Oryctolagus cuniculus: one gene and its partners. The protein of the gene in region 2 interacts with the protein of the main gene of each other region in a pairwise test. Links are inferred from orthologs where the notes say so. Each region holds a gene or a part of one and is shown on either strand. Other genes may lie near its edges. The genes, in order: SFT2D2, CREB3, TM4SF4, TMEM203, FDPS, TMEM115 and ALG3.

Region 1 (4,086 bases), on a different chromosome or scaffold from region 2:
ATGAAAACGCGACACCACTGCATCAGTGCCGGCATTTTCAAGGAGGACCTAGCCTAGGCAGTAAAAACTAAGCCAAGACAGCCCTGAAAACACGTCTGCCGGCTACAAGATGTTTCCGAGGAAACACAAGAAGCACACAAAATGAATCTCACTCAGAGGGACTCGTATTTCAGAACGAGAGAGGGGCATCCACTCTTTGTAAAATAGATTTAATACATGTGTGCACTGACAACACATTAAAGCCCTCCACGGCATCCACCACTTCAGGGGAAAAACAAACAGCATTTATGTTTCCCAACTGCACTTCTGAGGGCCCGTCCACTGCCTCACGAAGACTTTCTAATGCATAATATCCACATCACCCCCAAGAGTCTTCAGGAGGAGAAAGGGTCACCCTCTTTTTCTAAGATTTACTGAACTATTGGAAAGGCAGACGAGAGAGAGAGAGAGAGAGATCTTTCATCCACTGGTTCACTCCCCTAATGCCCACAACAACCAGGGCTGGGCCCAGCTTGGAACTCCAGCCAGGTCTCCCACATGGGTGACAAGGACCCAGTTACTCGGGCCATCTTCTGCTGCTTTCCCAGTTGCATTAGCAGGAAGAACGGATCAGAAGCGGAGCAGCCAAGACTTGAACCAGCCTTCAGATACAGAATGCTGGGGGCCACAATGCGTGCCCCAAGGGTCTCCCTCTTGAGTACCCACAGCTCCTAAGAGTTTGGGGGCAGTCAGTGGGGCCACAAGGCTTTCAGGAACAATAAGGATCAACTTCCTGAGTGTCAGACCTTTCTTCACAAGAGACCAGAAATCAAGAAAAAAGAACCCATCAAATCACTCCTGAGCTTTGGCCAATTAATAAAGGTCATAAATTTTTTAAAACCAACAGAGCTGTGTTGCAATGTCAGAAAAGCCAAACCAGTGAACACGTCATCCCAAGCACATCAGGCTGGGGATGCCCACATCCCACACTGGAGGGCCTGAGATTGAGTCCTGCCTGGTTCCCATCCAGCTTCCTGTGATGCACACCCTGGGAAGATGGCATATGATTGCCCAAGTACTTGGGTTCTGCCACCCACGGGAAGATCCAGATGGAGTTCCAGGCTCCTGGCTTCAGCCCGGCCCACCCTAACTGTTGCTGACACTTGGGGAATGAACCAACAGATGGAAGATCTCTCTCTCTCTCTCTCCCTGCCTTTCAAATAAATAAACTGTTTTTAAACTTTGGGGCTGGCGCTGTGGCGTAGTGGGCTAAGCCTCCGCCTGCATTGCTGGGATCCCATATGGGTGTTGGGTCAAGTTTTGGCTGCTCCTCTTTGGATCCAGCTTTCTGCTATGGCCTGGGAAAACAGTGTAGGATGGACCAAGTGCTTGGGCCCCTGCACCTAAGTGGGAGACCCAGAGGAAGCTCCTGGCTTCAGATCAGCTCAGCTCCAGCTGTTGTGGCTATCTGGGGAGTGAACCAGCGGACAGAGGACCTCTCTCTCTCTCTCTCTCTCTCTCTCTCTCTCTCAGTAACTCTACCTCTCAAATAAGTAAATAAAAATCTTTAAAAAAAAAAAAAAAACAGTCAAACTTCAATTTTTGCTAACCCTTGACTCTTAGAGTGTTCACCCCTTCAAAGCAAAGATTCAAAGAACAGATTTTACACTGAGATTTCACGGAGGGAGTGGAGGTACTAGCAACATACAAAACAACACGCATTATAAAATCAGCAATCCCCCAAGCGGGAAAGCGGCGTGCTGAGAAAACAGACTCAAGCTACAGCGAAAACTCGAGTTCCCAGCCGAAAGCAGGTGCATCATCTTGCACAACGTCCTTAACTTCACAGGTGGGAAAAGTGAGACTACGGAATGCACCAAACAGCAGAGGAAAACGCTGTCTGCCATCCAGAACGCCAAACGAAAACCAAAGCTATAAAAAGCACTCAAAACAGAAACACGATGCTGTGCGGTTCTAGAGCTCCGGGCATTAGCGACCGCGTTTCTCTGCTCCATCAAAAATAAACAAAGGCGCGGGCAGAGCCTAGGCGCAGACGGCGTGAACAGAGAGGCATAGGGGATGGGGGTTGGCCCCTGTCCCCCGGGAGTTCGCGGTTTGCTCGTGGAGCCAGTTGTGCAGCCGAGGCGGGCGCGGGGCAGCGAACCGGGAAGCCTCAGCCCCGCCAGCCCGGACCAGCCACCTTCCGGGCCACGGCTCTCTCCGCCTCGGCTCAGCGCCCCCAGCCCAGGGCCTGCACGCCAGCTCGCTCGCTCTCGCAGACTCTTCCGAGCTCTCCCTCCAGCGCCGCCCCCTCTTTACGGGAAATGAAGCTGAGAAGGCTGACCGGGCGCAGAACAAAACAGGACACAGAGGGCGACAAGCCCCGTGCTAAAAAGCTCCTGCGCTCCCGTCCCCTGGGTCGGGGGTCCTAGCGGAGGCCCGCAGTGGGGTAGCGGGGAGGAAGCAACAGGGGCAGAGCTGCTTTCCAAGGAACCCTGGAAGTCCTGCCCGGCTTTCCCGCCCGCATCCGCCGGCGCCGACTTCGGAGGCCCGGGCCGGGGGCACGGCCATCGGCTGGGGACAGTCGGGGGCCGGCGAGGTGCGGCCGGCCCGGGCATACCCACCTCGGACAGACCGCTGCGGTCCTCGGTGTCCTGCCCGCTCAGCACCTTCTTCAGCTTGTCCATCGCGGGGCTGGTCCCTCGGCAAGCAGCCTGTTGCGCTCGCCGAGCCGACGGCTCTTCCGGGTCTGGGCCGCGGCGGCCGCCGCCCCTCGCCCCGCCGCCAACCACGGCACGCCCCGCCCAGGTACCTGCCCACCTGGCCGGCCCCGGCGTGCCCCGCGCGGCCGCCCCTGGCTCTGCGGACCGGAGGAGGTGCGGCCTCGTGCGCACTTGGGAACGGGTGCCCTGGCTGATGCACCCTGTGAGTGTACTGACAGGGAAGAGATTTAAAAAAAAATCGGGCGAGGCTAACTGGAGTGAACGCCATCCAACAAGCTTTGTAGAGATGGCAAAGAAGAGTAGCTGAGCCCGCTGCAACTCCCCCTGCATCCCATAGGAGCCCTAGTTGGAGTCCGGGCTGCCCCACTGCTTTCCAGCTCCCTGATAATGCGCCTGGCATTATCATTAAGGCAGTGTAAAATGGGCCCTGCACCCCTATGGGAGACCTGGATGGAGTTCCTGGCTTCATCCTGGCCCGGCCCTGGCCACAGTGGCCATTTGGGGAGTGAACCAGCAGGTGGAAAATTCATCGTGCTCTCCGTAACTCTGCCTTTCCAATAAATATTTAATTTTTTTTTTTTTGACAGGCAGAGTGGACAGTGAGAGAGAGAGAGACAGAGAGAAAGGTCTTCCTTTGCTGTTGACAGGCAGAGTAGACAGAGAGAGAGAGAGACAGAGAGAAAGGTCTTCCTTTGCCGTTGGTTCACCCTCCAATGGCCGCCGGGGAGGACTTGGGCCATCGTCCACTGCACTCCCGGGCCATAGCAGAGAGCTGGCCTGGAAGAGGAGCAACCTGGACAGAATCTGGCGCCCCTACCGGGACTAGAACACGGTGTGTTGGCGCCACAGGCGGAGGATTAGCCTACTGAGCCACGGTGCCGGCCTCCCATAAATATATAAATCTTAAGAAAGAGAAGCAGCAACACTGCTGTATTTCCACCTGGAAATGCATCAAGGTGGGTGATCTCGAGGCACGTGTTAGACCTTGGTGGACCCGGAAGCAATATTAGACTGTTCTGTTTGTTAAATGATTTGTTTTACTGACCTCCCACCAGACTCCAGTGCTAATGCTTGGTTTTGGAGAATCCATGTGTTATCCCCTAGGCAAGATCAAAGGCAAATCATGGACTCAGGTGGCAAACTGGTAGCTGGATAAGGCCTGGGAAACCTACTCTGAGATTGAATCAGCCAGGAACATGCATAGATTTTCAGGAGCACCCACTGGAAGATCGGTTACAGCATCTGCTCCTAATACTCACAACAATGCTGAGGAACTAAGTAGGAATTCTAATGTTACCAAGAAGTTGGATCTCTTAGAATTTAATAATAATTAAGCAAAGGGATTTGCACAAAACCATACCCAAGTCAGTCAAATGGTACAACC
Region 2 (4,025 bases):
TCCCTTGTCTAGCCTCCCTAACCAGTAGCCATTTTGGTTTCCATCAGAATGCCTCTAAAGACCAGGTGTTAAGATCACAGGTGCCAGAGCATTTTTAACAATTTCATTCACTGAAAAATTTCTTACCCTGAATTAACATCTGCCTCCATGTAATTTCTATCCATTGAACTTATCTCTGGGGTCGTGTAGAACAAAATTCTACATAGCTGTTTTAAGGCTGTTGGCATTTCCTCAGAGTTTAAAAAAACACACACACAAAAAAACCCTGGACAGACTTCTTAACCCAACATTTCACCATCACTGCATCCTCTTGGTATCTGTCAAAGATACAGGCCCAAAACTGGGCACTTAAAATGCACTGTGATTTGTACAAAAGACAGCAAGACAGTCTTGCCTTTTTAGAGACAATGCATGTATTGACGCTGCTTCCACATCCCACTTGCTTTGCCATATCTCACTGCTGACTCATCTTGTACTTTTAAGAAGTTAAAATTTCTTTAATAAGTACTTATTTTATTACAGGGTCACAATACTGTGCTTGTGAAGTCACCACCCAGTGTTGAAACTTAAAACTTATGCTTCTACATTTGTACTGTTAGAAGGCTTAGTCCAGGCCGGCGCCGTGGCTCACTAGGCTAATCCTCCACCTTGCGGCGCCGGCACGCCGGGTTCTAGTCCCAGTCGGGGCGCCGGATTCTGTCCCGGTTGCCCCTCTTCCAGGCCAGCTCTCTGCTATGGCCTGCAGCTCTCTGCAGTGGAGGCTGGCCCAAGTGCTTGGGCCCTGCACCCCATGGGAGACCAGGAGAAGCACCTGGCTCCTGGCTTCAGATCAGCGCAGTGCACCAGCCCCAGCAGCCATTGGAGGGTGAACCAACAGCAAAAGGAAGACCTTTCTCTCTGTCTCTCTCTTTCACTGTCCATTCTGCCTGTCAAAAAAAAAAAAAAAAAAAAAAAGAAGGCTTAATCCAGCCTCATTGAACTCCCTAAAACAATTCTCCCATTCAGCGCGATGTAGATTACCACCAAGCCGATGAACTCCAAGTGGCAGAGCCCTTCCCTTGCACAGTCCTGCCCAAGGCCCTACGCTAATGTTGCATTGATAATTCTGAAATCTTTTTTCTTAGAACACCAAAATGTGTTAGAAGCCTCACAAAACCAGGATCCACCCTTGCATCTAGCATATTAACCAACAACTCTGCTAAGATGTTCACCTCTTAAGTGTATCTTATTTTTGACACTGATATTACACACATCTATAGGATACAGAGTGACATTTAAGTAATGTATACAATGTAAAAATAAGTAGGGCAGGGTAACTGGCACATGTATCACTGCAGACATTTATCATTTCTTTGAATCAGAAACTGAATATCCTCTCTGCTAGCTATTTTGAAATGCAGCTGCTACCAAGCATAACGTTAGAAGTGACTCCTATCTGACTGCATTCCGGTACAGGTCGACCAGCCTCTCTGCACTCTCCCTCCCCTACACCCTCCAGCCTTTGCCCCACCAATGGGAGCCTTACCTTGGTGAGAGGAAGCGTTCCAGGCAGAGTAAGCCCCTCCTTCTCCAGTAGCCTCTTCTCCTCCTCGGTCAGTACCAGCCTAGCAACCTCCTGAGGTTACGGGGAAGTAGGCAGCAGTTGCATGGGGATGTCCGAAAGAAATGGGAATTCCCGCCCCGCCCCGCCCCGTGCAATGTGGGGATAAGCCTCCTGAAAATCAAGTCAGCTACCTGCTCTGTTGGCTCCTCCACATACAGCGGAGTCATCGGAGCCTCCTCCTTCCCATAGCTCCCACTATCTGCAAAAGGGCAATTGTGACTAGCCGGGCCCACGGACCCTCTCCTCTAGCTCCCAACTTTTCTGATGTCACTCACCTACGTCCACGGAGACATGCTCCTGTGGGAGGGAGTAAGTGTGATCGTGGTGCACAGGCGAGGGCTCGCAGGAGCTGAGGTCGGCCAACGACGCCGGGGGACTCAGCAGGGTGCTCAGCAGATCCTCTGCCTCCCAGTCGCTCAGTACCTGCACCGGGTTCAAATTCCCAGGCCCTGGCCTGTCACTGACACCCGGGTCTCGCGGACGTGCCGCGCCTCCCTGACGCGGAGCCCTACCCACCCACCTCGGAAAGCGGCAGCTCCCAATCCGGGGGCGCCTCCACCGACTCATCGGCTGCCTCCCCCCATGCTCCGCTCTGCTCGAGCAGGAAGCCGAGCAGGTCCTGATCGCCAGGGTCCAACGCCAGCTCCATCTGCGACATCTACGGCAGAAACTCAAGGGTTCACTTCGCAGCCCGGTTCCAATACGCGAGCCCCAGGCACGACCCCCAGCCCAACCGCCGGGTCTCTCCCGCCTACCCACCGCTCCTCTTCGGCTGGCCTTCCCCGCTGCCGGGGCGGCAGTCGCTGTCAAGCCCGACCCACCCACCCGCCGGACTCCGTCGCCCTCGGCCTCCAACACAGCACAAGTGACGCACGCGGCCCCGCGGCCTCTCGGGACTTGTAGTTCCCTCCGAGCCGGAAGTGGCTCGGGTGCTGCGCCACGTCCCGGGGGCGATGCAAATGAGGGGGACGTCCCCGCCCCGGGGGCGGGGACACCGGCGACTCGCCTCCGCCTTCGCCCCGAGCTAGAAAAAAGGAAGAGTCCGAGTGTAACAGGGAACTCGGGCGCCGCTGGGGTGTTTTCTCCGGATTGCGCCGCGCCCTGGCTTCCTGCCGGGGAGGGGCTGCCAGTCTTCGGCGGGCTCGCGAGCATCGAGAGCTGGGGCCAGAGCAGCTTCCTGCAGGTCCCCAAAACCATAGAGCGCGGGCCCAGGGCGCCGCCCGGGGGTGGGGGACGCGCCGGGGACGGAAGTGGCCGAGTGTGGCGAAGGGAGGGCGAGGCCGGAGCCGGAGAGCGGGCCCGGAGGACGAGCAGGGCCGGCGGGCGGGGCGCAGAGCCGGGCAGCGCAGGTAGGCCGCGGCGGGCCGGGCCGGAACCTCGGGGTGGGGCCGCGAGGTCTGGCCCGGGAGGCGGGCGGGCGCGGCCCCTGACTGCGGCGCGTCTATGGCGGGTTCTGGGGGAGACGTCAGCTTCCAGGGTGTCTCGGCAGGCCGATCTGCGGGAGGTGGCTCCTCTGCGGGAGCAGTCCTTGGCCTGGAATAGGTTTTGGGGAAGGGTGAGGAGTGTGGCGGCCGCGGGGCGCAGGGCGGGGATGGGCTTTGGTGTTTGCTGATAGCGGGGATGTTGGGCTGGAGAGCTGTGGATGAGTCTGGGTTTAGGTGGGGTTGGGTTTGGGAATCAAGGGTCTCTTTAGGAGGTGTAAGGCCGGGGTTAACGCTTGAGTTATTGGCGTGATTTAGATCCGTTTTATAAATAAGTGAGGTTGAGGTTGAGGTCGTTATTTTGTTTCCTGGGATGACCAGAGGTAAGTCAGAGTTAAAAGAGTTCAGGGTCAGGTTAATGGTCAACAACAGGAATTAGGTTAGAAGTCCATTTTAAGGATCATAGGATATTGTCGTGGTCAGTTTTAAGGATAAACAGTGAAAAGGTGAGTTAGGAATCAAGTTACAGGTGAGCTAATTTAGACTTAGGGGTCAACATTTTGGGTTAAAGTCAGCAGATTTGGTGCTAACGGTAAAAATTAGTTGAGCCTTAGGGATCAAGGATTGGATGCTTGCTGGTCTCTGCTAGGAGGGGGATTCTATGAGAATGAGGAAACAAATTAGGGCACTAAGGGCAGACCCAGGCCAGGAATATTGACCTTGGGCAGATAACATTTAAGAGGTCGGCAATAGATCGATGCCTTTGGTGTGTGTGTGTGTGTGTGTGTGTGAGAGAAAGAGAGAGTGGGGGGGAGGGAAGTCCCCTCATTTTTATTTAGTCACAGGAGCTTCTTTCAGCCAGAGAGATGACACATTTTGGGTTGGGGTTCTGGACTTCAGGTAGAATTTCCTCGATTCCTCTCTAAGCTCAATGCTGTTGCTGTGGCCACCACAGTTACGGGGCAGGGATTGCTGGACTGTGTTCTGTATGAGATGGGAGG
Region 3 (4,111 bases), on a different chromosome or scaffold from region 2:
AAAATAATTATTTTAGATGTTAAAGGAATAATTATCAATACTTTTTTGAGACCCATGACAGTGGTTAGAAGGTTGAATACATTGTCTGAATGATCTTCGATCTCAAATGGAAAACTAGTACAAAGGGTCTTTTAAAAGTTCATGGAAAATAAGTACTATAAAAAAACTGTACACGAATTAAATCATTTTTACACCAAAATAAACTTACCTTTTAATCTGATTTTTCATGAACTTTTGGAAGTACCCACATATATGCACAATGCACCAGTCTTTGCCCTCCAATAAATATTTAATTGAATAAATGAGCAGATAATGATGAGAAAGAAACGTTCAGACGATTCTGTTTCAGAAGGATTGAAACATCTTTCCCTTTAAGAAGTTGAAGTGAGTGTGTACAGTTTACTGCTGGGGTTCACAAGTCTCTTAGATGGAATTGAACCGTGGAGATTAGAGGAAAACCTGGCCTTACTCATCATCCAGCCTGTAATTCTAGTTTTTCCTTCTTCATTTCCCCCACATCGATATACCTAAACTCAGTGCTTTTTTCTGCAAGTAACTCTGTATCTTATTCATTTATATCACTATTATAAATGAGAACTAGCCTCATTAGCGGACACAAGCACACATTATTGAATTTTAGTTAATGTTGCTTGTGTTCCTGGAGCCTGAGACTTGTACTTCCTTTGTTCTACAGGGCGATTAGAAAGGGTCTGAAATAATAAAGACTGAGCGCCATCAAAATGTTTTTTTTTTTTTTTTTTTTCCTTACTAGAACTACATGGATTGAAAAAGAATTGAAAACATTCTTTGCTGTTCAAAGATAAAGCGCATCCGGATACCTACCACCGGGACTGGCCCCAAATGTGGGAAATTCTGATCTAGTTCCACTTCCTCCGTTTTCAGAGGCGTGAAGGGAGGCAGAACAGCGCAGGGACTTGCCCAGCTGCAAGAAGGGGACCCAACCCCGGGTCCCAGCATCGTCTCCCCTTCCCAGAGGCTGATACCTGCCTGATCTCTCCAGCTCTCCAGCTAACAGATGGAGGGCCACACAAAGCAAGAGAGGAAACCGAGGTCCGGAGGCAGAACCTGGGTGGAGCCGGGAACTGCTGGGCACAGAGATAGTGGACCCGGCAGTGGCTTAGGTGGGGGACTGGGGAGCTGTTGGGGGAGGGGGAATGTGCCATCTTTTACCCTGTCTCAAATTCTCTTTACAGTTGAAACAAGGCAGGGCCAGAGAAAGGCAATGCCTTGTCCAAGACTCCGTGGCCTGTCCGTGGCAGGGGGAGAGCTACATCCCCCACCCGCACCTTCCAAGCCTACTTCCTTTAAATGGCACCACTCTGGTTCCCCAGCTCCGACTACCCTGCCTCCTGGTAACAGAGGTGTCATCCCCTACCAGTTTGAAGGTTGCCTCCTATACAGATGTATCATTGTTGTTATTTTGTACCAACAGCAAGACTCCCAGGTTTCTCCCCGCCCCAGCTGGCCCCCAGAGTCCTGGCGGGGGTGGGCTCACTTGCCCCTGCCCCAGGCTGCCCATCCTGGGAGACACAGCGCACCCTCTTGGCTGCCGCAGGAACTCACCGCGAACCGCTTCCCACAGCTCTGGTTGCCGCAGCACCCACAGCAGTCATTGTTCTTCAAGCCCAAGAACACCAGCGCAGGGAAGATCATCTGCCAGCAAGAGAAAAGTCTCAGAGGGAGGTCTGGCTGCGTCAGGAGCCCCGTCCCTGGTCAGGGGGGCTTGCAGGCTCCCAGGGGCTGGGCGGCAAACGCCAGCCAGGCATGGCTGGCTGGGCAGAAGGAGCGTTAATGGGAGCTAAGGTTCCATTCGACCCGACTGCCTTCAGCTTCAACACGGCAAGCTTTCAGGTCTGGCACCCCGAGTTTTTATTTAGGTGGTGGGTTAGCACACGACCGAGGAGCTGTTCCTCAATGGACAGGAAAAGCTCCCGTCCCACCAGAGCTTCCCAATTCTGCTGGAAACCAGGGATAAAGAAATCTTTCACCAATGGAGGAAGACTCCATTGACGCCTGCATCTCTTGGTAGTTTATGCCAATCAAGTCTCTAGAAAGCATTCTTTTTTTTTTTTTTTGCAGCCATCGATTTGGTTCACAGGACTTGAATGTCCCATGAGGACCGCCAGCCCAAGCCAGGGGATTAGTCAGTAGACCCAGTGGACTGTCCTTGTCAGTCTAACAGAGCGAGGACATCAACTATGCACTGCCTGCTCAGCACGCATTGCTCGGGCTTTCGTTAACCCAGAACTGCGTCTCTGTTCGGTAAGGACTGCACTTAGGATAGAACGGAGGGGGAGCCCAGGTAGGCAGACTGTAAGGCTTTTCCCTACTCACCAAGATCCCGTTTCCACATATTCCTCCGAAATACCAGACCTCCGTGGTAATGTGGTCGTTGTTGTCCGCCACTCTCCCTCCCGGGAAAAACAGCAGGATGTTAGCCAGCAAGCCAAGCACGGCCAGGGGGATGAGGGTGCCCCCCAGGCACTTGGCACAGCTCCCTGTGCACATGCTGAGAGGCCCAGCACTGCTCAGCAGCAACGGACTCCTGGCTGCCTCCTGCCCGGGGCCTCTTCAAGGGTTTTGGCTGGAGTGCCCCAGTAATTGTCCCCGGTGCACTCAGTATTTTGGGACCGAGAACCAAATCCCTGTGAGCTGTGTCCTTGGAGTCACTTCAGCCGCTCAAGTATGGCAGAACCTCAGTGGTGATGGACATTTATAATTCTCCGCAGCTTGACGTCCCTTTTTTCCCTGCACCCCCATAAATGAGATTATGCTCAGTGCAATCAGTCAATCGTTTTGCCATGGAGACCAATAACCTCTGTTAATAATCTACCAGCACCGACAAGACACTCACATTGCTGCGATCGAAGACGGGGCTGGCACGGACAGCGCTTAAAAGCCCTGCCCCTCTAATCTGACAATGCCCCTGCCCAGTTAAAGAAATATTTCCCCCCGGGGTCTTCACAAATGACCCTCATAACTGAGTTACATCCTGGTTAAGATTCTGTCTCCCAAGAACTTAATGGTCTGTAGTGCGTGTGCTTGGTCTTTTCCGCGGAGAACCTGGGATGTGAGGTTAAGCCAAAGAGCGGTCTGTTTTCTTCAACATGAAAATAATTTGATGGTCTAATTGCCTATGGAAATTATTTTATTTCATTGTGTTTCTCTACTGGTTACTCAAGTGTGTACGATGTCTCCCACCAGGTGAGATGGAATTAGCTAAAGCGGTTTTCCTACTCAGCTCGCGTAGCTACATCTTACATGGAGGAATGGAAACCACTGGGTTCACAAAGGCTAAGGGGAAAGGAAGTTCCACAGGGCAGAGGAGACGGAGAGAATTATCTGTGTTTCAACTGGAAGCAGAGAGGACAAAGCGTGGGAGGCGGTGCAACGCACCCCTGTTGGGAATTCTGTCAACTGCCAGGGGTGCGATACAGTTGCTTTGTGTCATCAGAGAAAGTCTGTGCCACGCCTAGACTAAGATCCACAGTGCGCGATGACCCTGCCTGGTACTGGGCTTACGTAACAGTAGAAGGATCAGGGGTGGAGCAAGAAGCCTTGCCAGCTTTTCCTTGAGAGCTTGGAGGTCGGAACTGAGAGCAACAGGTAAAATTGCTTAGGGAGCCCAGTTTTAGTTGAACAAAAAGCAAGGTGCATCATGATCACCAGGAGACCCTCTGCAGCCGGTTATTTCCCAACACCCAGACAGGTGGGCAGTAGCCTTTATTTATAACCCATCAGCTTTTGACAAAGCGCTTTGGGAGTAATAACAGCAAAGAAGAAAAATGTTCCAGGCTTCTAAAAGTTGCATTAGTCAAATGCTGGTGCCACCTTGGAGCAAGTCTGCTCCCCTTCAGGGTCTGGGTTTTTTTTCTTTCTCCATGGACTGTGTCTTGTGCTTCTAGAAGTGTGGCATTGGATCAGCACTGGTCAACACAGCCAGGAAGCCCTAGACTTTTCAGACTAGCGACTGGAGTTGTTGATCTACAGTGAGTGAACAGATGAAAGAAATAAAAGATACAGGGGGCCCTGCTTCAGACTTCCTCCTGGATTTTAAGGTGTGGTACGTGAGTAACTTCGAAGGAGAGCC
Region 4 (2,634 bases), about 39 Mb from region 2:
AGCGGCCCTCCGCGCTGCCCCTCTGCTCCTCCCACCACCGCCCTGCAAGGGCGCCTCAGCCCCTGCGTGCCCACCGCCCCTTCTGTGGGTGAGCAGAAGGCCTGGACCTGACAGCTGTCGCCCCACGGCTTCCGGCCCACCTGCCTGACCGCCGCTGCCCGGCCACTCTGCACTGGGCCTGGCTTCCTGCCGCCCCTCCCTGCAGCGCCAAGCACCCTCCTCCCGGGCCTGGCGCCCCGCTCGCTGCAGGACCAGAGGCTCTGCTCGCACCCCGCGGCTGGCCCCCCTAGCATCTGGCACCTTCCCCAGCCGCGGGCACTTCCGGCGCCGACTGGACCGCCCAGCACGCTCGCTGCTTCTGCTCCCGGGAGCCCCGGCCCCAGCCCGTGCCCAGGCTGCACCGAGACCTAAAGGCCCTTCCCCGGGAGCCACAGGAGACCAGACCAGCCTGTCCGCGAGCGGTGAACACGGAGGGCGAGGCTTCTCCGACAGCACCGGCGGAGAGCCACTGACTACCGCCGGTGTCTCTCCAAGTGCGGGGCGGAGCCCCCGGGCCAGCCTTACCTTCATGTTGTCCGGGGGGTCTCCCTGGCCTGCAGTTGCACAAACAAATACCACCAGGCGCTCGTTGATCAGGTTCACCTCAAGAGAAGACACGCAGGTAAGACCTCGTGCGGGGACACCGCACCGAGGGCGCCCCCTGCGAGCACCCCCGCGGCCCGGCCCCCTCCCCGCGCCCCCGGAGCGCTCACCACCGCGTAGGAGTCCAGCGCCTGCACGCGGCAGCCGAGCCTCCGGCGCCGGGCCTCGCGGCCCAGCCTCTCCGCCACATCCTGGGCCGTGCCCGTCTGGCTGCCGAACAGCACCAGCAGCTGCGGGCTCGGCATCGCGGCTCCCCCGGGGGGCGGTCCCCGCCACCAGGTGCACCGCCGGCGCCCGCCGCGAGGCGACTTCCGCTTTCCGCCGCCCACCGGAAGTGACGCACTTGGGCCGCGCCCGGCGGGGCATGGCGTCCGAGCGCCGCGGGCGTCGGCGGGCGGCCGGTGCGGGGTTCCGGGCGGCGGCCGGCGGCGGCGGCGGCGCGGCCGCTCGCTGCCTCGCGCTCGCGGCGGTTGCGGGGGCGGCGGGCGAGGCCCCGGGCCGCGCGCGGCCGGCGCCATGCTCTTCTCGCTGCGGGAGCTGGTGCAGTGGCTGGGCTTCGCGCCCTTCGAGAGCTTCGTGCACCTGCTGGCCCTGCTGGTGTTCTCCGTGCTGCTGGCGCTGCGCGCCGACGGCCTGGCGCCCGGCCTGTCCTGGTGGAACGTGTTCGTGCCGCTGTTCGCCGCCGACGGGCTGAGCGCCTACTTCACCACCATCGTGTCCGTGCGCCTCTTCCAGGACGGGGAGAAGCGGCTGGCCGTGCTGCGCCTCTTCTGGGTGCTCACGGTGCTAAGCCTCAAGTTCGTCTTTGAGATGCTGCTGTGCCAGAAGCTGGTGGAGCAGACCCGGGAGCTGTGGTTCGGCCTCATCGCGTCGCCCGTCTTCATCCTGCTGCAGCTGCTCATGATCCGCGCCTGTCGGGTCAACTAGCCCCGCGGCGGGGGTGCGTGCCCGGGCCTGTGGGGCGGCCAGCCCCGCGCCGGGGGTGCGGGACCCCGAGCCCGGGGCGTGGGCCAGCCGGGGCCCCACCTCCGCCCGCTGCACCAGAGACAGCGCCTGCTCCTGCCCAGCCGAGCGGCCACTTTGCTGCCCAGAAGTCGTGGCTGACATTGCTTCTCCCGTTAGCTCGGGGCCTGCACAGCAGCTGCCCCGCTGGACTCAGGGACTTCCTGGCCCGGCTGTGCTGACCCAAGAGCTCCAGTCGCACCGTGCTGTCCAGGCTGTGTGAGATGGTGGATCTCCTGCCTGATGTCCTTTCTCCATCCCGGCCACCACGCAGGGCCTGAAGGACGTCAGACCGCGTCCGCTGTCAGCTGGGAGCATCGCTCTGCCATGGGGTTGGCCGAGAGGAACAGGTGCCCGGTGCCCTGAGGATTGAGACCTGCAGGTGGGAAGCGGGGTGGCCGGCTCTGTCGGCCGCGGTCTTTGGTCTGACGCCAGTTGGGTGCCAAGTGGGAACATCTGCGATAAAAATAAAAGAGAATCTTTCCGGAAAGGCGCGGGTTTTCTGTGCGTCCTGAAGACGGGCCCCTGCGTGGGTCTCACGGCGGGGCTTGGGGTGGACCTGGAGGGGAGGCGAGCGGGGGCGCCCAGGTGAGGGCACCTGCCATGTGTGGCTCTGCAGGGCCGGGGGCAAAGCTGCCCTGAACCCTGGTTTCCCGCCACTCGTGAGCTGGGGAGGCTTCCACGTTTAGAAGGGTTCGGGATGAAGGGTGTGTGACGGTGGCCGCGGCCCGAGTGGCAGGGCAGCACCCGGCACCTCGGCCGACGGGGCCTGGCCGTCCTCCGAGGACGGGTGCTGGCCTGAGGCTGTAGGGCGTCCAGCAGTGTCCACGGCCTCTAGGGCTCGGGACCGCTTTTCCCAGAGCAGGTGTGCTGACCCTGCTGTGACAGCCTGTCCAGCCTGTGGGCCTGTGTCCCCTTGCCTGAGGGGTGCCGGTCCTGTAGGCTCGCTACCGCACTGCCCTGCACTTGGGAGACCCCTGGCCGGGTCAG
Region 5 (4,112 bases), on a different chromosome or scaffold from region 2:
GGAATATATATATATATACACACACATATATATATGATGTATTATGATGTATTCATTTATTTGAACATTAGAGAGAGAGAGAGAATCTTCCATCCACTGGTTCACTCCCCAAATGGCCTCATATTGCTGGGCCAAGTGGAAGCCAAGAGCTTCTTCAGGTCCCCCATGTGGATGGCAGGGACCCAAGAACTTGCGCCATCTTCCACTGCTTCCCCAGGTCATTAGCAGGGCGTCGAGTGGGAGGTGGTGCAGCCAGGACTCGAACTGGCATCCATGTGGGATGCCAGCGCTACAGGCAGCGGCTTAACCCACAGAGCCACAGTGCCCCACGTCCTGTTACTGAGCTGTGGGGATTTAGGAGGGTTAATGGAGGAAGAGCCAAAGTGGTCAAGCCAGGCATGTATGGTTGAGGGGCCTCGTTATAGTCTCACTTATAGTTATAAAATTCAGCATTTTATATTCATTGCCTCTTGATTTTGTCCTGATGCAACTGATGAAGAAAGCCAAGAAATCAATTGGACCGAGGGTCACAGCTATTAAGTGATTTCCCTGAGTTGGAGAACTAATTAATGTCAAAGTTGACCCTTTTTGTAAAAAAAAAATTATTTATTTGAAAGGCAGAGCTACAAAGGAAGAGGGAGAGAGAGAGAGAGAGAGAGAGAGAGAGAGAGAGAGAATGAATCTTCCAACCGCTGGTTCACTCCCCAGATGGCCTCAATGGCAGGAGCTGGGCCCATCAGGAGCCAGGAGCTTCTTCCAGGTCTCTCACATGTGTGCAGGGGCCCAAGGACTTGGGCCATCTTCTACTGCTTTCCCAGGTCATAGCAGGGAGCTGGAGCGGAGGCTTTGTCGCCGAGTCGGCCCCCAGTTATACCAACCTGCCACGCCGCTGTGCAGGAATATAACGAAAATGGGAGCGGAGAGTAAGGCAACAGCCAGGAGGCAGAGCGGGGGCGTGGGCAGCTGGTTAGCCGCCAGCACTGCCCCCGCCCCCGCCCGGGGGCCTGCGTCCGCTAGGCTGACAGCCCTTGCACAGCCCTTTCATTGGTCATCCGCCACAGAACCCATGCTCATACGAGGGCAAGCACCCAATCAGCGATGCTCGTCTCCGCCCAGCCGGCCCACGCTAGATCGCGCTGTTTCTGTCCCCCCCGTGGCACGCCGGGAGTTGTAGTCTAATGTCGCGTCTCTGCCGGCGAAGGAGGGAGATTCGGAACTACTCCACCCAAAGGGCTGAGCGCGGATCGTGTTCGGCTTTTAGGAGTAAGCCGCCAACAATCTGGCTCAAGCAAGAACCCGCATCCAGGAACAGGTGAGAGAGGTCGCGTGCTGGGACTGGAGGCGGAGGTCCGAGACCCGGCCTTACTTCTCTAGGGATGCTGTGGGGCACGGGAAGCCCAGTCTGTTGTGCTGGGGTCGGTGGCTCAGCCAGCCGGCCCTCTGGCTGTGCGGAAACTCCCGAACTTCGCCCATGTGTTTTCCTGACACTGCCCACCATGTCGGACCTGGGTTTACTCCTGCTGCGAGCCCTCCCCGCCCGCCCAGAGTTGCTCCGAGGCCATCTGCCCAAATCCCAGCGCCTCCTGCGAGGCTCGGGATGCCCCGTGCTCGCGCTCCACCGCTTGTGTCCGCAGCACCCATGGGGCGTAACTCAGAGCCTGGGCACCCCGCTTCATCGTCTGTCTAGGAAGAGCTGGCTTCTAGATTTGGCAGTGCTTCTGCCCAGCTGCCCTCTTAGCTCCTAGGCCCCCCAGTTTGGCTTCTGTGTGATTTAGGGATCCTCTTAACCCTAGTCCTGGGGTGCCGCGCTCTGCACCCACTCCTTCTCCAGCCTCGTGCACGCAGCCTTCGATTCTAACCTTACTCCTAAGTGGCTATCTGTTGGGTCCCAGTCACCAGCCCTACTTTTTGTTCCCTGAAATATCCTTTCTGTAGTTATTCCCAACTTTTGCCCCCAAGGGGGCGGGGCGTTGTGGGCCAAGAAGTTTAAAAGGTTGGTGGGGGTCTTCCAGGAGCTGCGACCAAGCAGCTGCCTTCGACCAAGCAGCTGCCTTCGGTGCTTGCCCCTGCAGGGAGTGCTCGGTGCCCCCACCCCATGCCACTCCCACGATGCCCTTGTCCCGCTGGCTGAGATCTGTGGGGCTCCTCCTGCTGCCAGCTCCCTGCTGGGTGCCCCGGGAGAGGTTGCTGGGTTCCCTACGGAGGCCCTCTCTGGTGCACGGGTACCCGGTCCTGGGGGCCTGGCACAGTGCCCGATGCTGGTGCCAAGCGAGGACAGAGGAGCCCCGGTGAGTGTGGTTGGGGTGAGGGGTCTTGGGGAGGGGAGCACCGGTCGGGTCTCTGACTTGTTCTTCCCTTCTTCAGAGCACTTTGCTCCTCTCTCATAATGAACGGAGACCAGAAGCCAGATGCTTACGCCCAAGAGAAGCAGGACTTCATCCAGCACTTCTCGCAGATCGTCAGGGTGCTGACCGAGGAGGAGATGGGGCACCCGGAGACGGGCGACGCTATTGCCCGTCTTAAGGAGGTGAGGGAGGCGTGACTGGAGCACGTGAGCCACTGGGCACCCTGCCCTTGTGTGTGGGCTACAGCTGTGGCTTTTGGTTCTGGACAGAGAAAGGAGGAGGCTTTTTAGGGGTGGCTTTGGGCAGGGCTGTGTGGGGTGCCTGTTTCAACCTGACTTCTGGCTGTGGGAGGGGATGGGCCACCCACACTGCTCTGCGTGGAACCGGGTAAGGCTGTGGTTCAGTGTCCTGGAGTCGGAAGGGGACAGCCAGGGGAGGAAGGCGGGCTGGGGGGTCCTGTCTCCCCTAACCCGGAACCCCCCCCCCCCCAGGGTGATTGCTGTGATGCTGAAGTTGCCTAATCGTTTGCTTTTGTTCCTTTGGAGTGTCTAGTAAAATTCTTTCTCTAAGCGTTGTCTGTCTCGTCTCTGAGGGGACCCGAGGGAAGGCGGGGAGGGCTCTGTCCGCGTGGAGATGGGGATTGAAGGGGACGTCGGCTCCGGGGCAGAGCAGAAGGCAAAGTGAGACCCAAGCACTGGGCAAGGCGATGCAGCCAGAGTGCGCCTGGGCACGAGGGGACCCGGCCGCTGTGCCCATGACTTGGGGGAAGGCAGGGGAGCAGCTCCCTGGAGGAGGAGGTGGGGTTAGGGAGGAGAAAGGTAGGTGGGAAATGGATCTCCAACCTGGGTCCCCTCCAACGCCTCCTCTGGCCAACTTTGGGGGGCCTTGTCTTTCGTAGGGAGGGAGGCTTTCACTGCAGGTGGGCTGAACTCTGGGTAGCAGGTGTAGGGCAGAGTGGTGAAGGGGAGGTCCAGGGACGTGGGGATGGGGCAGGGACCTGAGAAGGAGGCCTGAACAAAATGCGTGCTGAGCATCTCCTGAGTTCAAACCCCGTTTAGGGTTGGGGAGCAGCATTGAATCCACTATGGAGCCTGGGCACTGGCTGTCTCCAGGACTTCAGGGAAGGAGCCAAGGGAATAGCAATTCCAGGGGCTCCCTGGAGGAGGCGCTGGGGAGGCTACAGGAAGGGGGCACTGGAGAATGGGGGAAGGCAGGGAGAACCTCAGTTGGTGTCGTGTGGACTCTGACGCCCTGTCCCTCCCCCTCGTTGCCAGGTCCTGGAGTACAATGCCATTGGCGGCAAGTACAACCGGGGTTTGACGGTGCTGGTGGCCTTCCGGGAGCTGGTGGAGCCACGGAAGCAGGACGCTGAGAGTCTCCAGCGGGCCCTGACCGTGGGCTGGTGTGTGGAACTGGTGAGAGGGGCTTCCGAGAGGAGGGCGCAGGGGCCTCGTGTCTGTGCTTCTGTGCCTCTCGTGTGCTGGTGCCAGTTTTACCTAGGGGATCACTCCCGGGGTTAACAAGCGGGGGCACCCTCCTTGGTCATCAGCTGTATAAATAAGTGCAGGTAGACGAGAACCTGGCCTCCAAACCTGCCAGAGAGGCCTCAGCTCTGTGCTCGGAGCAGGAGACCTGCACTGCGTTCCTGAATGCCAGGCCTTTGGGGAGTGAACCACTGGGGAGTTCTGTCTGTCTCAGAAAATCTGTACGTGCTTGTAAAATCTGTTGGGTCACTCCCCAAATGGCTGTAACAGTTGAGGCTGGGCC
Region 6 (4,089 bases), on a different chromosome or scaffold from region 2:
ACAGACGTCATCCTTCCCAGAATCCCCAAGACCACCAAGACCTGTGTTAGAGCAGAGCTCGGTGCAGTCCACATGGGCAGGGCCCAGGCCAGGCCCACTGTGGGGGGAGGCGGGAAGGCCCCCCAGGCAGTAATCCCCCGCCCTGGACTGCTGCCCACGCAGGGACAGCCTGTGCAGCCTTCCAGGCTCCAGCGGAGAACCAAAGCTCCCAGCAGGCCAGGCCTGGCACAGGCAGGGCGCCCTCCCTGTGCTACCTAGGCTCCATCCCAGGTGCCCGTGCCGGGCTGAGGCCTGCCGGCAGTCGCTTCCTCACAGGGTGGAAGAGGACGGAACCCTGCTTCCCCCTACTGGCAGCGCTCTGGTGGGAGTAACCCCCACCCCACGTCAGCCGACCAAAAGGCTGGGCTCAGAGCCCACCTTGACCCTGCCCCCCCGCCTCCTGTCTGCTTTCTGGTGTCCAGCGATCCTGGTAACCCAAGGTCTCTCCCTGGAGGAGGGCCGCCTGGCCCGGCCCCCCTTTAGAGCTCTGAGGGCAGCTCCCCTCCCAGCAGGCCCAGTGTCCTGGGCCCATCCCCACTGGAGAAGCTGAGCCGGACGGCTGTCTAGAGGCCTTGTCGCCCACAGCGACCCACGCTGCACGGCCCAGAGCTGGGCCCGGCGTGCCAGGTGTATTTCCAGCGCCCACCGGCTGGGCTCACAGTACTCTGGCCCGTGCCTGGCTGGAAGCGCACGGCGCCAGGTGAGAGAGGGCAGGGCCAACTCTTCAGCTCTGCTCACAGAGCTTCCTGCCAGACCCCACCTGACAGGGGGAGACGGGGAGCCCCTGACATTGCACCGGCACAAGGCCTGCCCTGGCTGCACCACTCAAGCAATTGCCTCCCAGTGACGCGGCGCTGATGACGCCCTGGGGAGAGCTGAATCAGAAAGCCAGCGGGTCACCCGGCGGGACTTGGTTTGCACCTGAGGAAAAGGGGGTTTCAGCCCTGGTGCGGGCAGCGGGCTCCCGAGGGGGTCAGGTGGCCTGTCCCCGGGCTGAGCAGCACAGCCTGCCGAGGGGGGGGGGGGAGAGTTGGCGATACCCCAGGCTGGCGAAGCAGAGTCCGGGTCAGGGGCCAGGGAGAGGCTGCAGGTCAGCACCCGGGGACTGGGCTGGCCCAGGCCAGCTCTTAGGGACCCGAGGCCTCCTTCCCTGACCCTCCCTCTCAGGGTGCAGGCCCGGGAGGCTGGCTGTGGCTCCCAGCGCGCCCACGTGGAGGACTCCGAGTCTCCCTGCCTTAGACTCGCACAGCACCTGCCGGAGCCCAGCCACCCACATGCTGATGTCCTCAACCCCAAAGACCGGCTCTCTCTCCGATCGGCTGCCCCGACACCGGCCTCGGCCCGGCACTCAGCTGGCAGGTGACTCGCGCAGCGCCCTCCTAGCCTGGCAAGGTGGGGGGAAGCTGTCACGGTACCTTCTCCGCTCGGCGTCCTGCGGGTCTGTGCCCGGGAGGCTGATGGTGATGGAGGACGGGGCGCCCACGTCGTAGCGCTTTACCGTCTTCTGGCAGACCCTGACTTTCACCAGGAGGCCGTGCACCACGTCCGCCAGCAGCCCCACCACGGGCTGCAGGATCTCGGGGAAGAAGGTGGCAAACGCGAAGTGGTCGGCCATGTCCCCTCGGCCCCGACTATGACGCTGGTAGAAACGCAGGTACACCCAGCTGGAGAGCAGGCCGAAGCCGTAGGAAGCCAGGGCCGGGCTCTGGAGCAGCGTGGCCAGCCGCAGCAGCAGCAGCAGCGCCAGCAGCAGCATGGGCACCACACTGACACGCACCTGGGGCACTCGCAGGACCACACAGTCCCCCATGGTTTGCTTGAGTGCCACCAGGACACCACCCAGGAAGCCCAGCGCGCCGTGGATGCGGATGGTGAACAGGTAGAACAAGTTGAAGGAAGCCATGTAGGTGAGGAGGTAGGCGAAGGCCCCCAGCAGCCCCACAGACACGTTCACCACTAAGAAGAAGATGAGCAGCTCCAAGGCACCCCAGAGGGGCTCCAGCAAGCGCCCGGCCACCACCACTGTGGCCAGGCTGATGGCCACGTCCCACACGTGCTGCTCCATCAGCCCGTGGGTGGCCAGGGTCCAAATCCAGAAGTTGGGCGGAAAGAGGTAGCCCGGGGTGACCGCCAGGCAGCGCGTGTCCACGGCGAAGGAGAGCAGGTAGAGGAAGAGCACCGCGGCGCACAGCGCCTTCACCACCACGCTGGCGCTGGCCAGGACGGCCCCCAGGTGCTGGCGAGCGCCAGGCAGGGCGCGCTGCATCTTCCCGGCGGGCGGCGGCCTGCAGGAACGGGGCTGGGGGCCTCCCCGGGGCTCGCCCTAGCCCGGCCCCGACGGGAGGCCCGGGTCCGGCCTAGTCACTGGTCTGTGTCCCTGGTGAAGGACCTGCTTCCGGTCGGAGAGGGCTGTGGTGCCCAGGGGCCGAACCGGGCCTTGTCGCCGGGCCGGAGCCTAGGCCCCTCGCCCAGGACCTGCGGGAAGGCCCCGGGCGGCTTCGGCGCGCCTGCCTGCCTGCCTGCCCTGTAGGCCGCGCGCCAGGCCAGCCGGGCTAGCGTTGATCTCAGGACTGCGCCTTCTCCATCCACTCCGGAGTCCTTTAGTCCGCGCAGGGCTGACGCCTTGCTCTGGGCCCGAGTCAAGCCGGGTCAGCTCCGGCTCGGCCTCGGTCTTGGCTTCGACCGTACCTCCTCCTTCTCAGGGGCCAACAAACAGGGGTGCCGCGCCTGCGCGCCCCCGGCGGCGGCGGGATGCCCTCCGCGCCTGCCTTCCGGCTCCTCGGCATGCTGGGATACTGAGTCCTTGGCCGCCGCCGGGGACGAGCGGAACGGGGTTCCTGGTGGAACTACAAGTCCCAGGAGGCTGTACGCGCGCACCATCCCCGTCGGTGATGAGAGCGTATGCTGGGAGTTGTAGTTCTGAAGACCATTTCCGCTGGTTATTGGAAAGTGGCAGGGGTAGGGTGGGGTGGGTGATGGAGTATTGCCAACCTCGGATAGCGGTGAGGCAGGTTCGGAGGCAGCACCGCCTCAGGCCACACACTTGCTGAATTGTCCGGGAAAAGTAGCTCCGTTTGTGTATGCACACCTGTCCTTGTGAGCAGGTGTGTGAACCAATGTGTGGGGACTATTGGAACCTCCGCGGTCTGGTCGATGGGCTTGGACCCAGGCTGGAATCCTTGCGCTGCTATTTGGCGGCTGTGTGACAGTGCCCGAGTTCCAGAACCTTTTTGAAACTCGAGGTCATGGGCTGTAAAATGCAGATGGTGGCAGAACCTTTCTACCCTAAGGATAAAAGGGAACAGGAGTGTAAAATGCCAGTCTACCTGGCTGCTTAGCGTGTGTGTGGCTCACGCTGCCCTGGACACAAGGAAGGTGGACCCTGAAGTGAACCCAGGACTCCCGCTCCCGAAGAGGTGAGGCTGGGCTGCCCTCCAGACTCTGCTCCCCACCAGAGGCTCCCCTACAAGCCTGGGCCCCCTACTCACGTCACAGGGGCTCCTGACAGTTTGTATCCTATGGTAGATATACGTCTCAGTTTTTAAAAATGTGTAATTAGAACATAACAGTACTTTTGGGCCCAGCGTTGATATTCAGTGGGTTAAGCAGCTGTCTCTGACGCTGCCGGCATCTTATATGGGCGCCAGTTCGAGTCCAGGCTGCTCCACTTCCAGTCAGCTCCCTACTAATATGCCTGGGAAAGCAGTGGAGGATGGCCCACGTGCTTGGGCCCCTGAACCCACATGGGAGACAGGGAAGCAGCTCCTGGCTCCTGGCTTTGGTCTGGCACAGCTCCGGCCGTTGTGGCCATTTGGGGAGTGAACCAGCAGATGGAAGACCGACCTCTGTCTCTCCCTCTCTCTGTAACTCTATAAATAAAAAAAAAATTTTAAAGTACTTTATCGTATAAAGTGTAAATCCCTTCTTTTCAGCCACTGGGCTCAGTGCACAGAGCCGCCTGCATCGCACAGGCTGCTGGTGGCTGCCACGGCCAGCTAGGATGGCCAGACTTAGAAAACCAAACTATAGGGCGCTCAAATATCAACAATA
Region 7 (2,829 bases), on a different chromosome or scaffold from region 2:
CCACTGCTTCTCATTCCCTCCCCAGAATCCTTGTGCCCCAAGAAGTGCCTGCCGGTGCTCTCTCCCACTCTTCCCACCCCAAACCCTTTGGCTGTGTGCTCTGAGCTCTGTGCAGCACAGTGGAAGGGGAGAGACCCACAGTTCCTAATTCCTATGCAATAAAGTGCCTCTTAGGACTTCCAGAGTGAGTTCTTTATCTGCCCTGTACATACCTCACCACTGTGTCCACACACCGGCTGCCCCTGCCTCCATGTAAGCTGCAGAGAGGTGGACTTGGCAAGGTTTATTCCCAAGGGCACTGAGTCCAACCCACCCGGGGTCCTGGGAGTGGACTGGAGGAGGACGGGGCGGGTTTCAGTGGCCTTTCTTGTCCTGCTGGACGTTCTTGGGGAAAGGCTGCGGGCCCAGCCACAGCTGCAGCAGGATGACGGCATGGCACGCGTGCAGGGCAGCAGAGCTGCAGGACGTGGATGGGTACGTGTTCCAGGAGAGCTCGATGAGCCCCAGCACCAGCAGCCTAGAGATGAGAAGAGGCTCTGGGTTTTGTCCAGTGTCAAGGCCTGTAGTCCTGCTCCTCGTGCCCTACATGCGTCCGTCCCCCAGCACCTCCATGGTTGCAGCCTTGGCACAAGGAACTCCCTCGCCCCTCCCCCACCCCCAGGTGTCCCAGCCAGTACCTGAGCAGGTGTGTGAGCCAGCGTGCAGGTGTGGCCCACAGGAGGTAGGGCAGTGTATGGAAATACCAGACATAGAACTGGTAGTGGAGGGAGCGGCTGAAGCAGATGCCAATGAAGTTGGAGGTGAAAAGGATAGAAACGATCTGTATTTGATGGTCAAGGCCAAGGGCAGGAGCAGAAAAGGGAGGAGTCGAGGGTTCCCAAAACATAGGGGAAAAGTTTTAGGATCAAAAGTCCCCCTCGCTCAGCCATTCCCAGATTCACACCTTTGGGCGAGTTTCTTCACCTCTCTGGATCTGTTCTTTAGTCTAACCTGGAGCCAGTAACAGCCAAGGCTGTAAAGCCTAATGAGTGAGTCCCTTACTAGCTGTGTGATCTTGTTAAGTTCCCTAATTTTTAACCCCTTAATTTTGCCATCTGTAAATGAGAGTGGTGACAGTACATCCCTACCTCAGGGAGTGTCAGAATGCACACGGATCTCTTAGGACAGCATGTGAGCACTCATACTGGGGGCTTACTGTTTAGAATTGAGAATAAACTTCAATATGTGAACTGCTCAGCTCAGCGACTGGTACAGAGCAGGGACGCTACGAATGGGCTCCCGGTACCTGTCTCAGGTCAGCAGCCATCCGGGCCTGAAGACTGGAGCTCCGTCTGCCACTGCAGATGGGAAGACTTACCTTCCAGTGATTGAAAGGATATGATTGGGGGTGAGGGGCTGGGGCGGGACCTTCCTTTTGGAGGGATCCTTCAGCAGTGACAGGATACTTTCCCCCGACCTGGGGAGAAGCCATGTAGATATTCATCAGGTCCCCACTGTGGGCCAAACTCTAGACTCGCCCCCATGAGCTTGACCTCTCCCCCAAAGCAGCCCTAAGTCCAGGGCCCTTCACTCCTTCCCCCAACTCTGCCATGCCACTCCCTTTCTTACCTGTGCCACCTGCAGAGAGCAAACAGCAAAAGCAGGGAGAGGTGGGCGGCCAGCAGGGCCAGGTGGAAGGCCCGATGCAGGAAGAGGGCCTCAGGGAGGAAGCGCCAGTTCACTGTCCAGCGGAAGAGGAACTGACGGCCCAGGTCAAAGGAACGGGATAGGTAGCCAATGGGGTTCTTCAGCAGGAAGGGCAGCCCCAGCACCACCTGAGGATGGGTCTGATGTGGGCAGAGCTGCCAAGGTTCACCCCACGCATCATGCGAACCACTGAGGGGTGCAGGAGTGGGATGGAGGCCCTAGAGTTTCCCTCATTCTCACCAGGAATAGCAGGAAGCCACCCCCAGCCAGTGCGGGGGCCAAAGAAGCCAAGGAGGCAGAGAATCACTATGCTTTAAAGTTTCGATTCACCAAGTCATAATGGGCAGAGCCAAATCTCTCAGGGACCACCCAGTTCAACATCCTTGTTTGATAGCTACTGAGATGAAAGCCCAGAGACAGCCGCAGCCCAGCCAAGTTCAGAATCAACTCCAAAACCCCATCCCTTGGCTTTGAGGAAGTTCCAGGGGTCAAAGGAGGCCAGACAGGTGGCTTCCCCTTCACTGGAAAAGGGCAGGGTGAGGTACCTGGAGGACAGCACAGATGCCCAGCTTGGGGAGGGCCCCACGGAAGCCAAACTGGGTGAGGAGGAGGAACAGTAACCCAGGGGCGAAGAGCAGTATGTTCATCTTCACAGAGACTGCCAGGCTGGGGCGGGCAGGGAAGAGGAAGGGGAGAGGTCAGCCCTAGGGCCATGCCTCCCACCCAAACACCCAGTTCCCTATTGGCTCCACAGCAACTTTTTCCTCCAGGCCAGCAAGCTCCAGGATGGGGCCCACATTCAGAACTGCTGGAGGGAGGGCAAGGTCATTTGGGAAGAGGTCGGGGTAGGGGTAGACACCTAGCTCTACTCCCAGACTGCGTAAACATGTACTGGGTATTTAGAACATGCCAAGACCAACTCCAACAATGGGGAGAGAGGCAGGGAAGAGGGCACGTGTGGTGTGATGGTGGACACGCCCCACAGAGCCTGGACTTGCCCTGGGGGCCCTGAGTAACCCACATTGTTTTCTGGCCACTCCATAACTCCCTCTGCTGCAGGAAACTGGGAAGAGCGAGCTAGAGATGCCAGAAGTGAGGGGTGCTGACCTGAAGCAGCAGCAGCCCCAGCCCCAGCGCTGTGCC

What was found.
Region 1: the proteins of CREB3 (region 2) and SFT2D2 interact in a two-hybrid assay, tested with the Homo sapiens proteins (2 studies listed by BioGRID and IntAct). The two-hybrid records come from large-scale screens. The link is inferred for Oryctolagus cuniculus from reciprocal best matches to the Homo sapiens genes CREB3 and SFT2D2.
Region 3: the proteins of CREB3 (region 2) and TM4SF4 interact in a two-hybrid assay, tested with the Homo sapiens proteins (2 studies listed by BioGRID and IntAct). The two-hybrid records come from large-scale screens. The link is inferred for Oryctolagus cuniculus from reciprocal best matches to the Homo sapiens genes CREB3 and TM4SF4.
Region 4: the proteins of CREB3 (region 2) and TMEM203 interact in a two-hybrid assay, tested with the Homo sapiens proteins (2 studies listed by BioGRID and IntAct). The two-hybrid records come from large-scale screens. The link is inferred for Oryctolagus cuniculus from reciprocal best matches to the Homo sapiens genes CREB3 and TMEM203.
Region 5: the proteins of CREB3 (region 2) and FDPS interact in a two-hybrid assay, tested with the Homo sapiens proteins (2 studies listed by BioGRID and IntAct). The two-hybrid records come from large-scale screens. The link is inferred for Oryctolagus cuniculus from reciprocal best matches to the Homo sapiens genes CREB3 and FDPS.
Region 6: the proteins of CREB3 (region 2) and TMEM115 interact in a two-hybrid assay, tested with the Homo sapiens proteins (2 studies listed by BioGRID and IntAct). The two-hybrid records come from large-scale screens. The link is inferred for Oryctolagus cuniculus from reciprocal best matches to the Homo sapiens genes CREB3 and TMEM115.
Region 7: the proteins of CREB3 (region 2) and ALG3 interact in binary tests that used the Homo sapiens proteins (3 or more experiments, as listed by UniProt). The link is inferred for Oryctolagus cuniculus from reciprocal best matches to the Homo sapiens genes CREB3 and ALG3.

Annotation. Positions count from the first base shown.
Region 1 is NC_091438.1:30,514,871-30,518,956, forward strand, and holds the start of SFT2D2 (vesicle transport protein SFT2B), read right to left. Parts: upstream 2,801-4,086; 5' UTR 2,667-2,800; coding exon 2,604-2,666; intron 1-2,603. UniProt on the Homo sapiens protein: May be involved in fusion of retrograde transport vesicles derived from an endocytic compartment with the Golgi complex.
Region 2 is NC_091432.1:198,639,847-198,643,871, reverse strand, and holds the start of CREB3 (cyclic AMP-responsive element-binding protein 3), read right to left. Parts: upstream 2,801-4,025; coding exon 2,363-2,800; exon of another isoform or gene 2,359-2,362; intron 2,262-2,358; coding exon 2,124-2,261; intron 2,027-2,123; coding exon 1,879-2,026; intron 1,803-1,878; coding exon 1,735-1,802; intron 1,616-1,734; coding exon 1,526-1,615; intron 1-1,525. UniProt on the Homo sapiens protein: Endoplasmic reticulum (ER)-bound sequence-specific transcription factor that directly binds DNA and activates transcription. Plays a role in the unfolded protein response (UPR), promoting cell survival versus ER stress-induced apoptotic cell death.
Region 3 is NC_091435.1:131,995,143-131,999,253, forward strand, and holds the start of TM4SF4 (transmembrane 4 L6 family member 4), read right to left. Parts: upstream 2,801-4,111; 5' UTR 2,530-2,800; coding exon 2,356-2,529; intron 1,675-2,355; coding exon 1,585-1,674; intron 1-1,584. UniProt on the Homo sapiens protein: Regulates the adhesive and proliferative status of intestinal epithelial cells. Can mediate density-dependent cell proliferation.
Region 4 is NC_091432.1:237,493,020-237,495,653, reverse strand, and holds TMEM203 (transmembrane protein 203), read left to right. Parts: upstream 1-1,158; coding exon 1,159-1,569; 3' UTR 1,570-2,134; downstream 2,135-2,634. Other genes in the region: NDOR1 (NADPH-dependent diflavin oxidoreductase 1), read right to left, coding at 565-593, 753-1,008. UniProt on the Homo sapiens protein: Involved in the regulation of cellular calcium homeotasis. Required for spermatogenesis. Acts as a regulator of STING-mediated inflammatory signaling in macrophages.
Region 5 is NC_091438.1:43,239,661-43,243,772, reverse strand, and holds the start of FDPS (farnesyl pyrophosphate synthase), read left to right. Parts: upstream 1-1,312; intron 1,313-1,962; exon of another isoform or gene 1,963-2,072; 5' UTR 2,073-2,109; coding exon 2,110-2,288; intron 2,289-2,364; coding exon 2,365-2,527; intron 2,528-3,619; coding exon 3,620-3,760; intron 3,761-4,112. UniProt on the Homo sapiens protein: Key enzyme in isoprenoid biosynthesis which catalyzes the formation of farnesyl diphosphate (FPP), a precursor for several classes of essential metabolites including sterols, dolichols, carotenoids, and ubiquinones.
Region 6 is NC_091441.1:98,960,911-98,964,999, reverse strand, and holds the start of TMEM115 (transmembrane protein 115), read right to left. Parts: upstream 2,801-4,089; 5' UTR 2,306-2,800; coding exon 1,455-2,305; intron 1-1,454. UniProt on the Homo sapiens protein: May play a role in retrograde transport of proteins from the Golgi to the endoplasmic reticulum. May indirectly play a role in protein glycosylation in the Golgi.
Region 7 is NC_091435.1:93,820,390-93,823,218, forward strand, and holds part of ALG3 (dol-P-Man:Man(5)GlcNAc(2)-PP-Dol alpha-1,3-mannosyltransferase), read right to left. Parts: coding exon 2,794-2,829; intron 2,353-2,793; coding exon 2,232-2,352; intron 1,827-2,231; coding exon 1,609-1,826; intron 1,457-1,608; coding exon 1,379-1,456; intron 822-1,378; coding exon 678-821; intron 518-677; coding exon 355-517; coding exon of another isoform or gene 284-354; 3' UTR 1-283. UniProt on the Homo sapiens protein: Dol-P-Man:Man(5)GlcNAc(2)-PP-Dol alpha-1,3-mannosyltransferase that operates in the biosynthetic pathway of dolichol-linked oligosaccharides, the glycan precursors employed in protein asparagine (N)-glycosylation.